2 linked regions of the Macaca fascicularis genome follow. The protein of the gene in region 1 purifies or fractionates together with the protein of each later gene. This does not show direct contact. Links are inferred from orthologs where the notes say so. Each region holds a gene or a part of one and is shown in the gene's direction. Other genes may lie near its edges.

Evidence for each region.
Region 2: the proteins of HERC5 (region 1) and CTNNB1 purify together in Homo sapiens (affinity purification with western blotting; 3 studies listed by BioGRID). This does not show direct contact. The link is inferred for Macaca fascicularis from reciprocal best matches to the Homo sapiens genes HERC5 and CTNNB1.

Annotation. Positions count from the first base shown.
Region 1 is NC_088379.1:94,039,876-94,043,695, forward strand, and holds part of HERC5 (E3 ISG15--protein ligase HERC5), read left to right. Parts: intron 1-2,879; coding exon 2,880-3,023; intron 3,024-3,820.
Region 2 is NC_088376.1:104,080,235-104,084,054, forward strand, and holds part of CTNNB1 (catenin beta-1), read left to right. Parts: intron 1-204; coding exon 205-363; intron 364-1,796; coding exon 1,797-1,916; intron 1,917-2,427; coding exon 2,428-2,578; intron 2,579-2,666; coding exon 2,667-2,788; intron 2,789-3,820. UniProt on the Homo sapiens protein: Key downstream component of the canonical Wnt signaling pathway.

The DNA of each region.
Region 1 (3,820 bases):
TTCGGAAGATCTTTTAACTGATTTTTTCTTTAATTACCATATAATTTGTCTTATTAGTAAATATTTGATACCGAATCATAATGACCAGTAGATCTTTTGAGTGCTGTCCTTGTGGCAAGAACTGTTGTAAGTGCTTTGTACCTAATTTTTTAACCCTTTCAACAACACTGCGTGGCAGATTCTGTTTTTCCCTCATTTTACAGATGGGGAAACTGAGGTACAGAACTATTAGGTAACTTATCCAAGAGTAACCCAACTGATAAGCATCAGAGCCAGGATTTGGGCCCAGCCATTAGGCACTAGACTTTCTGCTTAATCAAGACAGATAAAGATTGACCTGATAATATTAGTAAATGGAGTATTTTTGATTGGGGACCCTACTTTATCACTTCTACTCAGATTAAAGAAAGATTGACTTTACTAAGTCTCAAGATACCGATGTAAAAGCATATTGCACCCGGACACAGTGGCTCATGCCTGTAATCCTAGCACTTGAGGAGACCGAGGTAGGCAGATCACCTGAGGTCAGGAGTTCGAAACAAACCTGACCAGCATGGTGAAACCACATCTCTACTAAAAATACAAAAATTAGTTGGGTGTGGTGGCAGGTGCCTGTAATCCCAGCTACTTGGGAGGCTGAGGCGTGAGAATCACTTGAACCCGGGAGGTGGAGGTTGCAGTGAGCCAAGATTGCATCACTGTACTCCAGCCTGGGCAACAGAGCAAGATTCTGTCTCAAGGAAAAAATATATATATATTGCAGTTTAAAGTTGGCATTTCCATGTATTTTTGCACACAGATAATTGTATAACTCTAATGAACTCGTTATGTGATTCTATCCTTTGCCAGTTAGTCCACTCGATTATTTGAGTTCCACTTTTATATATCGTTCATCCAGTTTTTAAATGCGGGTGCAGCATTTGCCATCTGCAGGCTCTGTGTGAGGTATTTTACATGTATGACCCCTGTAATCTTTCTGATAATCATGTGGGAAAACAGGCTTTATGAGATCAGGCAGCTTGTCCTTAGTAAGAAGAGGGGAAAGGGTTTGACACTTGGTCTTGCTACAGAGATTTTTAATATTTCACCAAGAGGAATGGAAGAGGCATGCATCTAAATAAAGAAACTGGTAAGAGGAGCTTTCTGGAGATGCTAGTAGAACATCTGGGTAGAAATGTTGAACAGGTCTTTGGAAGTGACTGTCAATCAGGAGAGAAAATATACTGAATCTGAAGGTTAAATATCTACGAGTGGTAAACAAAGTTTACAGAGAAAATGAGCCTCCAGGGAAAGAACAGAGAAAGGACAGAAGTGTTAGGATAGAATTGTTTGCAATTCTGGTTCTAGAAGTTAAACTAGCAGGAAAAAGAAGAGAGAAATAAAACCATGAAGAGTGCTTCATAAGCGAAAGCAAGGGAGAAGAGTCTGTCAAGAAAAAGGACATGATCAGAAGTGGAAAATGAGTTAACGAAATCAAGGAGATGAGATATGAGAAAAAGTCCTTGGAGCTTGGCGATTTACAGTTCTTGGTCTTCTTGGAGAGACCCATTTAAGTGGAGAAGTGGGTTTGGAAGTTGGCATATATCTCTGAAGTTTGGCAAGAGTAGAAGGAGCCCATGTTGTCTGTATTGGAGACAATATGTTGGGATTTTTTTTTTCCTTTTAAGGTTAAGGGGGACCTTAACATTTTTGTAAATGGAAGTGAAAGATTCCAAGAAAAGGCAGGAATGGAGGGGTAACTGAAGGAGCAAAGATGGGTTATGATAGCATCCTCTTGGGAGGGATTGGTGTCAGCAGTGGGGGTGCAGCCTCAGGGAGCAGACAGCCACTTCAGCAAACACCTTATGTGTGCTCTGGTTTTTTGAACATCCTGAATTTTTTTTTGTTTATTTGTTTATTTATTTATGAGACAGAGTCTCACTCTGTTGCCCAGGCTAGAGGGCAGTGGTGTGACGTCGGCTCACGGCAACCTTCGTCTCCCGGGTTCAAGTCAGTCTCGTGCTTCAGCCTTCTGAGTAGCTGGGATTACAGGAATACATCACTACACCCAGCTAATTTTTGTATTTTTAGTAGAGACAGGGTTTCACCATGTTGGCCAGACTGGTCACGAACTCCTGACCTCACGTGATCCGCCCATCTTGGCCTCCCAAAGTGCTGGGATTACAGGTGTGAGCCACCACACCCGGCCGATTTTTATGATTTCTTTCTGTTTATTTTTATTATATATACTTGGATCTGATGACTATAATAGTGATGCCGGTTGAGGTCAGTTTAGTGGTAAAAACTTTAGGCTCTGGGGTTTGACCGACATAGGATTAAATTTAGGCTGTAGGCCAGGTGTGGCGGCTCATGGTTGTAATCTCAGCACTTCAGGAGGCCGAGGTGGGTGGATCACTTGAGGTCAGGAGTTTAAGAGCAGCCTGGCCAACACAGTGAAACCCTGTCTCTACTTAAAATACAAAAAAATTAGCCAAGCGTGGTGGTGCATATCTGTAATCCCAGCTACTCTGGGGACTGAGGAAGGAGAATCACTTAAAACCGGGAGGCGGAGGTTGCAGTGAGCCGAGATCAGACCATTGCACTCCAGCCTAGATAACAGAGTGAGACTCCATCTCAAAAAAAAAAAAAAAAAAAAAAAAGGCTGCACCACCTAGCTGTTGTATAAACTTAGAAAAGTTATTTAAATTCTTGAGGCCGCATTATCTTATAGAATTAATGTAGAGCTTAAATATGACAATATATAAGTAGGATACTTACTCAGTGCCTACCAAATACTTGGGTCTACAATTAATGTTAACTATTTACTGTTATTAAATGAGACTTCATGTATAGCAAAATGGAGCCCTGGAAGTGATGTATTATTTGCTGTGTTTCCTCAGGTTTCATTTAGTGGAGAAATTGGGTATGACCTTGTAGGAGTTAAGAGAGAGTTCTTCTACTGTCTGTTTGAAGAGATGATCCAGCCAGAATATGGGATGTTCATGTATCCTGAAGGGGCTTCCTGCATGTGGTTTCCTGTCAGGGTAAGTTCCCTTTTCTTCGCTTACGAAACATAGAAAATTAGTTTGTCTAGACTGTTTCGTGTTAGGTGAGGAGTTGTGGATATAATTGTGGAGATAATCTATAATTCTAATAAGGTGATTATTTTTTTAAAATGGAGTTTCCTTTTCCTGGGTTCCCATATCTGTCCACATAGAACTCAAGCAATGTGTTTTTTTGATCATTTATATAATGCATGTATTAAAAAGGAACCCTTTTTTTTTTAGGTAGTCATTCTTTGTGTCAGTTCTGTTTTCCCAGTGAATTTGAAGACAAAGGCTGTGGAAAGAAATTGTGAAAACTAGTTTATAAGGATTACTGAACCTAATGTATTTTTATTGCTGGTATGCTTTTAGGAACCAAAACTGTGGCAGAGATTTATTTAGTTGTTTGTTTCTTTTGTTTTGCTTTGTTTTTGAGACAATCTCACTCTGTCACCCAGGCTGGAGTACAGTGCCATGATCTTAGCTCACTGCAACCTCCACCTCCCAGGCTCAATCCATTCCCGCCTCAGCCCAGCGGGATTACAGTAACTGGGATTACAGGCTCCCACCACCATACCTGGGTAGTTTTTGTGTTTTTTAGTAGAGACAGGGTTTCACCAATTTGGCCAGGCTGGTCTGAAACTCTTGACCTCAGGTTGTCTGCCCACCTTGACCTCCCAAAGGGCTGGGATTACAAGCATGAGAGTGGCAGGGATTTAAATTGACTCAATGACCAAATATTAGGTTGGTGCAAAAGTAATTGCAGGTTTTGCCTTTACTTTTAATGGCAAAAACTG
Region 2 (3,820 bases), on another chromosome or scaffold:
GGATGGCTAAGCATAGTGATCAATAAATAGGAATTGTATTCGTTAGTAAGTAGGAAGTATGGCTGCGATAGGGGTAGGATTCTGAAATGTTTGTGTAGTCAGAACTACTTTTAGTTGTTCCCAATAGATTTATTGTGGTGGGAATTTTAGGCTAAGAAAATGATTGTGTTGAGTTGTATGCCAATTCTTCCTTCTGTTTTTCAGGCTACTGTTGGATTGATTCGAAATCTTGCCCTTTGTCCAGCAAATCATGCACCTTTGCGTGAGCAGGGTGCCATTCCACGACTAGTTCAGTTGCTTGTTCGTGCACATCAGGATACCCAGCGCCGTACGTCCATGGGTGGGACACAGCAGCAATTTGTGGTGGGTAAATTCTTATAGTGATACCTGGCTGTCTAAAAGGAATGCATAGATCCAAAGATCTGAACTTCTTTGGTCATTTGTTCTCCCCGTCCCTTTTCCTGAAGAGCTGATGACAAAATATGACTGCAGAGAAGATAAGGCATAGTGTGGCCCCAGTGATATTTCCTTGGACACGTCCTTCACATGGTCAGTCTTACAAAGGTTGGGTTAGGCATTTCATGTAGTGTTCTCATTTAATTTACACAAAGGCCCACTTAGGAAGAGGTAGAGTCATAATTTGAGACCAAATCTGTGTAATTTCAGAGCTTCTTACCCTTGCCTCATCATAAATTTTGACAATAAATATTTAGCAGTCCATTTTATTATCTTTTCTGTGAGTTAAACTTTTTTCATGGACCTAAGAATATAGTATAGACATACTTCAAAAATAAGTAGTAGCATTTCTGTACTCTTAACCACAATAGTCTCAACCTGAAGCTTTGATACAAAGTTTGAGTCTTAAAAGTAGCTTCATTAAAAGTATAGTCTGAAGATACTTCTGATTTCTCAGACTTTAAGACCTTATTTAATTAGGTTAGTTTAGAAAACAAAGATGGAGCCTACCAGAACAGATTTTAGGAATCTCATTTTGCTGGTTGCTTTGTGTATGTACTCATACTGGGGCTTTGGCTTGCTTCATTTATTACTGTTGGTATTGGCCCATCTCCATGAGGTGACTTAATAGAATGTTGAGGGAATCTTTTATTTTAAATCTCTTTTCTAGGAAAAAAGGAGTTTTTGTATCCTTGCAAGAATCAAATTATTTATAAAAGCTGCTAAATGTAGCAGAATCATAACCCCTTTTAAAACTCAAATCCAGAAACAGGAGAAACAGATGGTACTTAAATATTGCAAAAGCTAACTTCTCCTATACATGAGACTGTCAGCTGAATAGTCTTGGAAGAGTGAGGAGTGGATTTTTCTGCTGGCAACTCAGTTAGTTTTAGCAGTTGGTGCTAAAACTTGGCAAAGTTTTCACCAAATACATGGAAGATGTACAAAAATAGAGGGGGCATGTAAAGGAAAAACGTTGACATAGTCTGAGCATTACTTTCTCATCTTCTCTTTTTATATACCTTTTACTCAGAATGATTGGTGCCCTTACTGTAGGAAAGTTGTCTTCGGGATTCAGTGCTATGTGGAAGCTCTGTTGCACTGTGTATGGGGAAGGGGTGCTGCCTTGAATTAGTGCTGCCAGGAGGCCTCTTTTCAGTGACATTCAAGTTAATGGAATCCTCCTTCATTCCCAAACGAATTGCAAGTTATGGGGAACTTCGGGTATATAATGTAAATAATTATAGTCTAATAATTATTCCTCAGAATGCAAAGCCTTTCAAGTTCAGAAACTTTACAGAGGAGAATGCCCTATTTGTTAACCATGTTTCTTTTGGCAGGAGGGGGTCCGCATGGAAGAAATAGTTGAAGGTTGTACTGGAGCCCTTCACATCCTAGCTCGGGATGTTCACAACCGAATTGTAATCAGAGGACTAAATACCATTCCATTGTTTGTGCAGGTATGTTGTTTTTAAGTGTTCTAGGTTTTATGTCCCTAAAATTTCCAGATTGTAATGACTAATAAAATTTCAGAAAATTAGGGACCATAATAGGGGCACCAATATTTAATTTTATGAAAATTCCCTTCAGTTTTTTGGTCAGTAGGAGAAATATTGAGACTCGAGAAGAGGGAGGAGATTTCACATTTCACTTTTACGGGTGCCTAGTTTTAGAGGGGAGAGCTGACCTGGGCTGCCAGAGGCGGGACATAGGCCCCCAACCAATTCTGGATTTTCCAAATCTTAGGTCAGTTAGAGTTGCCTCTGAAGAAAGGGTTTATAGCTAAAAAGTATTCTGGAAATCCAATGCTCTAGGGTATTAAACACCCTAGGACATAAAATTCAGAGAATATTATTTACTACAGTGTGAATGCCTCTTGCACTCTGAATTCGGAATGTTTGCACCACAGTGGGGGGCTTGTCATGTTTTAGCTTTAGATTTAATTAGGTTTTGTTTGTGTTTTCTCCCTAGCTGCTTTATTCTCCCATTGAAAACATCCAAAGAGTAGCTGCAGGGGTCCTCTGTGAACTTGCTCAGGACAAGGAAGCTGCAGAAGCGATTGAAGCTGAGGGAGCCACAGCTCCTCTGACAGAGTTACTTCACTCTAGGAATGAAGGTGTGGGTAAGTAAAAAGGAACCAAAGCCTTTAGCAGATGTGTACATTGAAGTCTCAGTTTTTCCTCAAGGGCCTTTTTTTCCTTGTCTCTTAGCGACGTATGCAGCTGCTGTTTTGTTCCGAATGTCTGAGGACAAGCCACAAGATTACAAGAAACGGCTTTCAGTTGAGCTGACCAGCTCTCTCTTCAGAACGGAGCCAATGGCTTGGAATGAGGTAGGGAAATGTGAGCAGTTATTTATCTGGTAGTTTCCTAGAGTGGATAAGGCAGCTTGTTCTTCTCTCAAAACACTTAGTATACATTCATTTGCATTGATGTTTCCCTGGCTTGAGTATTTCTTCTTTATGCTGTCCAGCAACTGCCCTAAGGAAGAACTATAACACAAACTTTAAAGCGCCTGTTCAGAATCATTACAAATAAGTTGTGCTATTTAAAATTATAATTCATAAGGGAGAAAGATGAAAAATGTTACCAGATTAAAGATGATTTTTCAAAAGGATGTAAGGAAAGAGGCAGTGTTAAACACTGTTAGAGGACAGTTTGTCAGTAGTTTTTACTAAACTTTAATAAAACTTTTCTATTTGACTTTCTGCTATGAATTTGTCTTCAGTATTTGTCCTCAGTACAGGTGTCCTTTGAAACATTGTTTCTAATAAAACTAGAACCACCCTGGAAGTTTATTTTATCCACTCTGTAGTGATCACTGATGGTACACAGTCATAACAGTGGATTATATTTGTTGAGCGAATGGAAAGAGAGATTATTAGGTTTAAAACGATGCAGCTCTTGAGGCCAGGAGTTCAAGATCAGCCTGGGCAACATAGTGAAACCCCATCTCTACAAAAAAATTTAAAAATTAGCTGGGCATGGGGATGGATGCCTATAGTCCTAGCTACTGGGGAGGCTGGGACAGGAGGATTGCTTGAACCCAGGAGTTAACAGACTGCACTCAGCAACAGAGCCAGACTCCAACTCAAAAAAAAATAAATAAATAAAGGAGAGCAAATTACCAGTGAGTGGTGTGTTACTTGGGTTTTTAATAGGCATCTTATTAACATGTTCCAACTTGAGCCCTTAACTTTCTCCACCTACCCCCTTCCACAAACCTGTTTTGACTGTCTTCTCTGTCTTGATGTCAGCTTTGTCTGTCCAGCTGCTCAGGCTAAAACTTTTCTTTCATACAACACATCCTGTCAGCAGCTCCTGTTTGGGGGTAGGCATTTTGCCTGTTTTTTTTTTTTAACTGC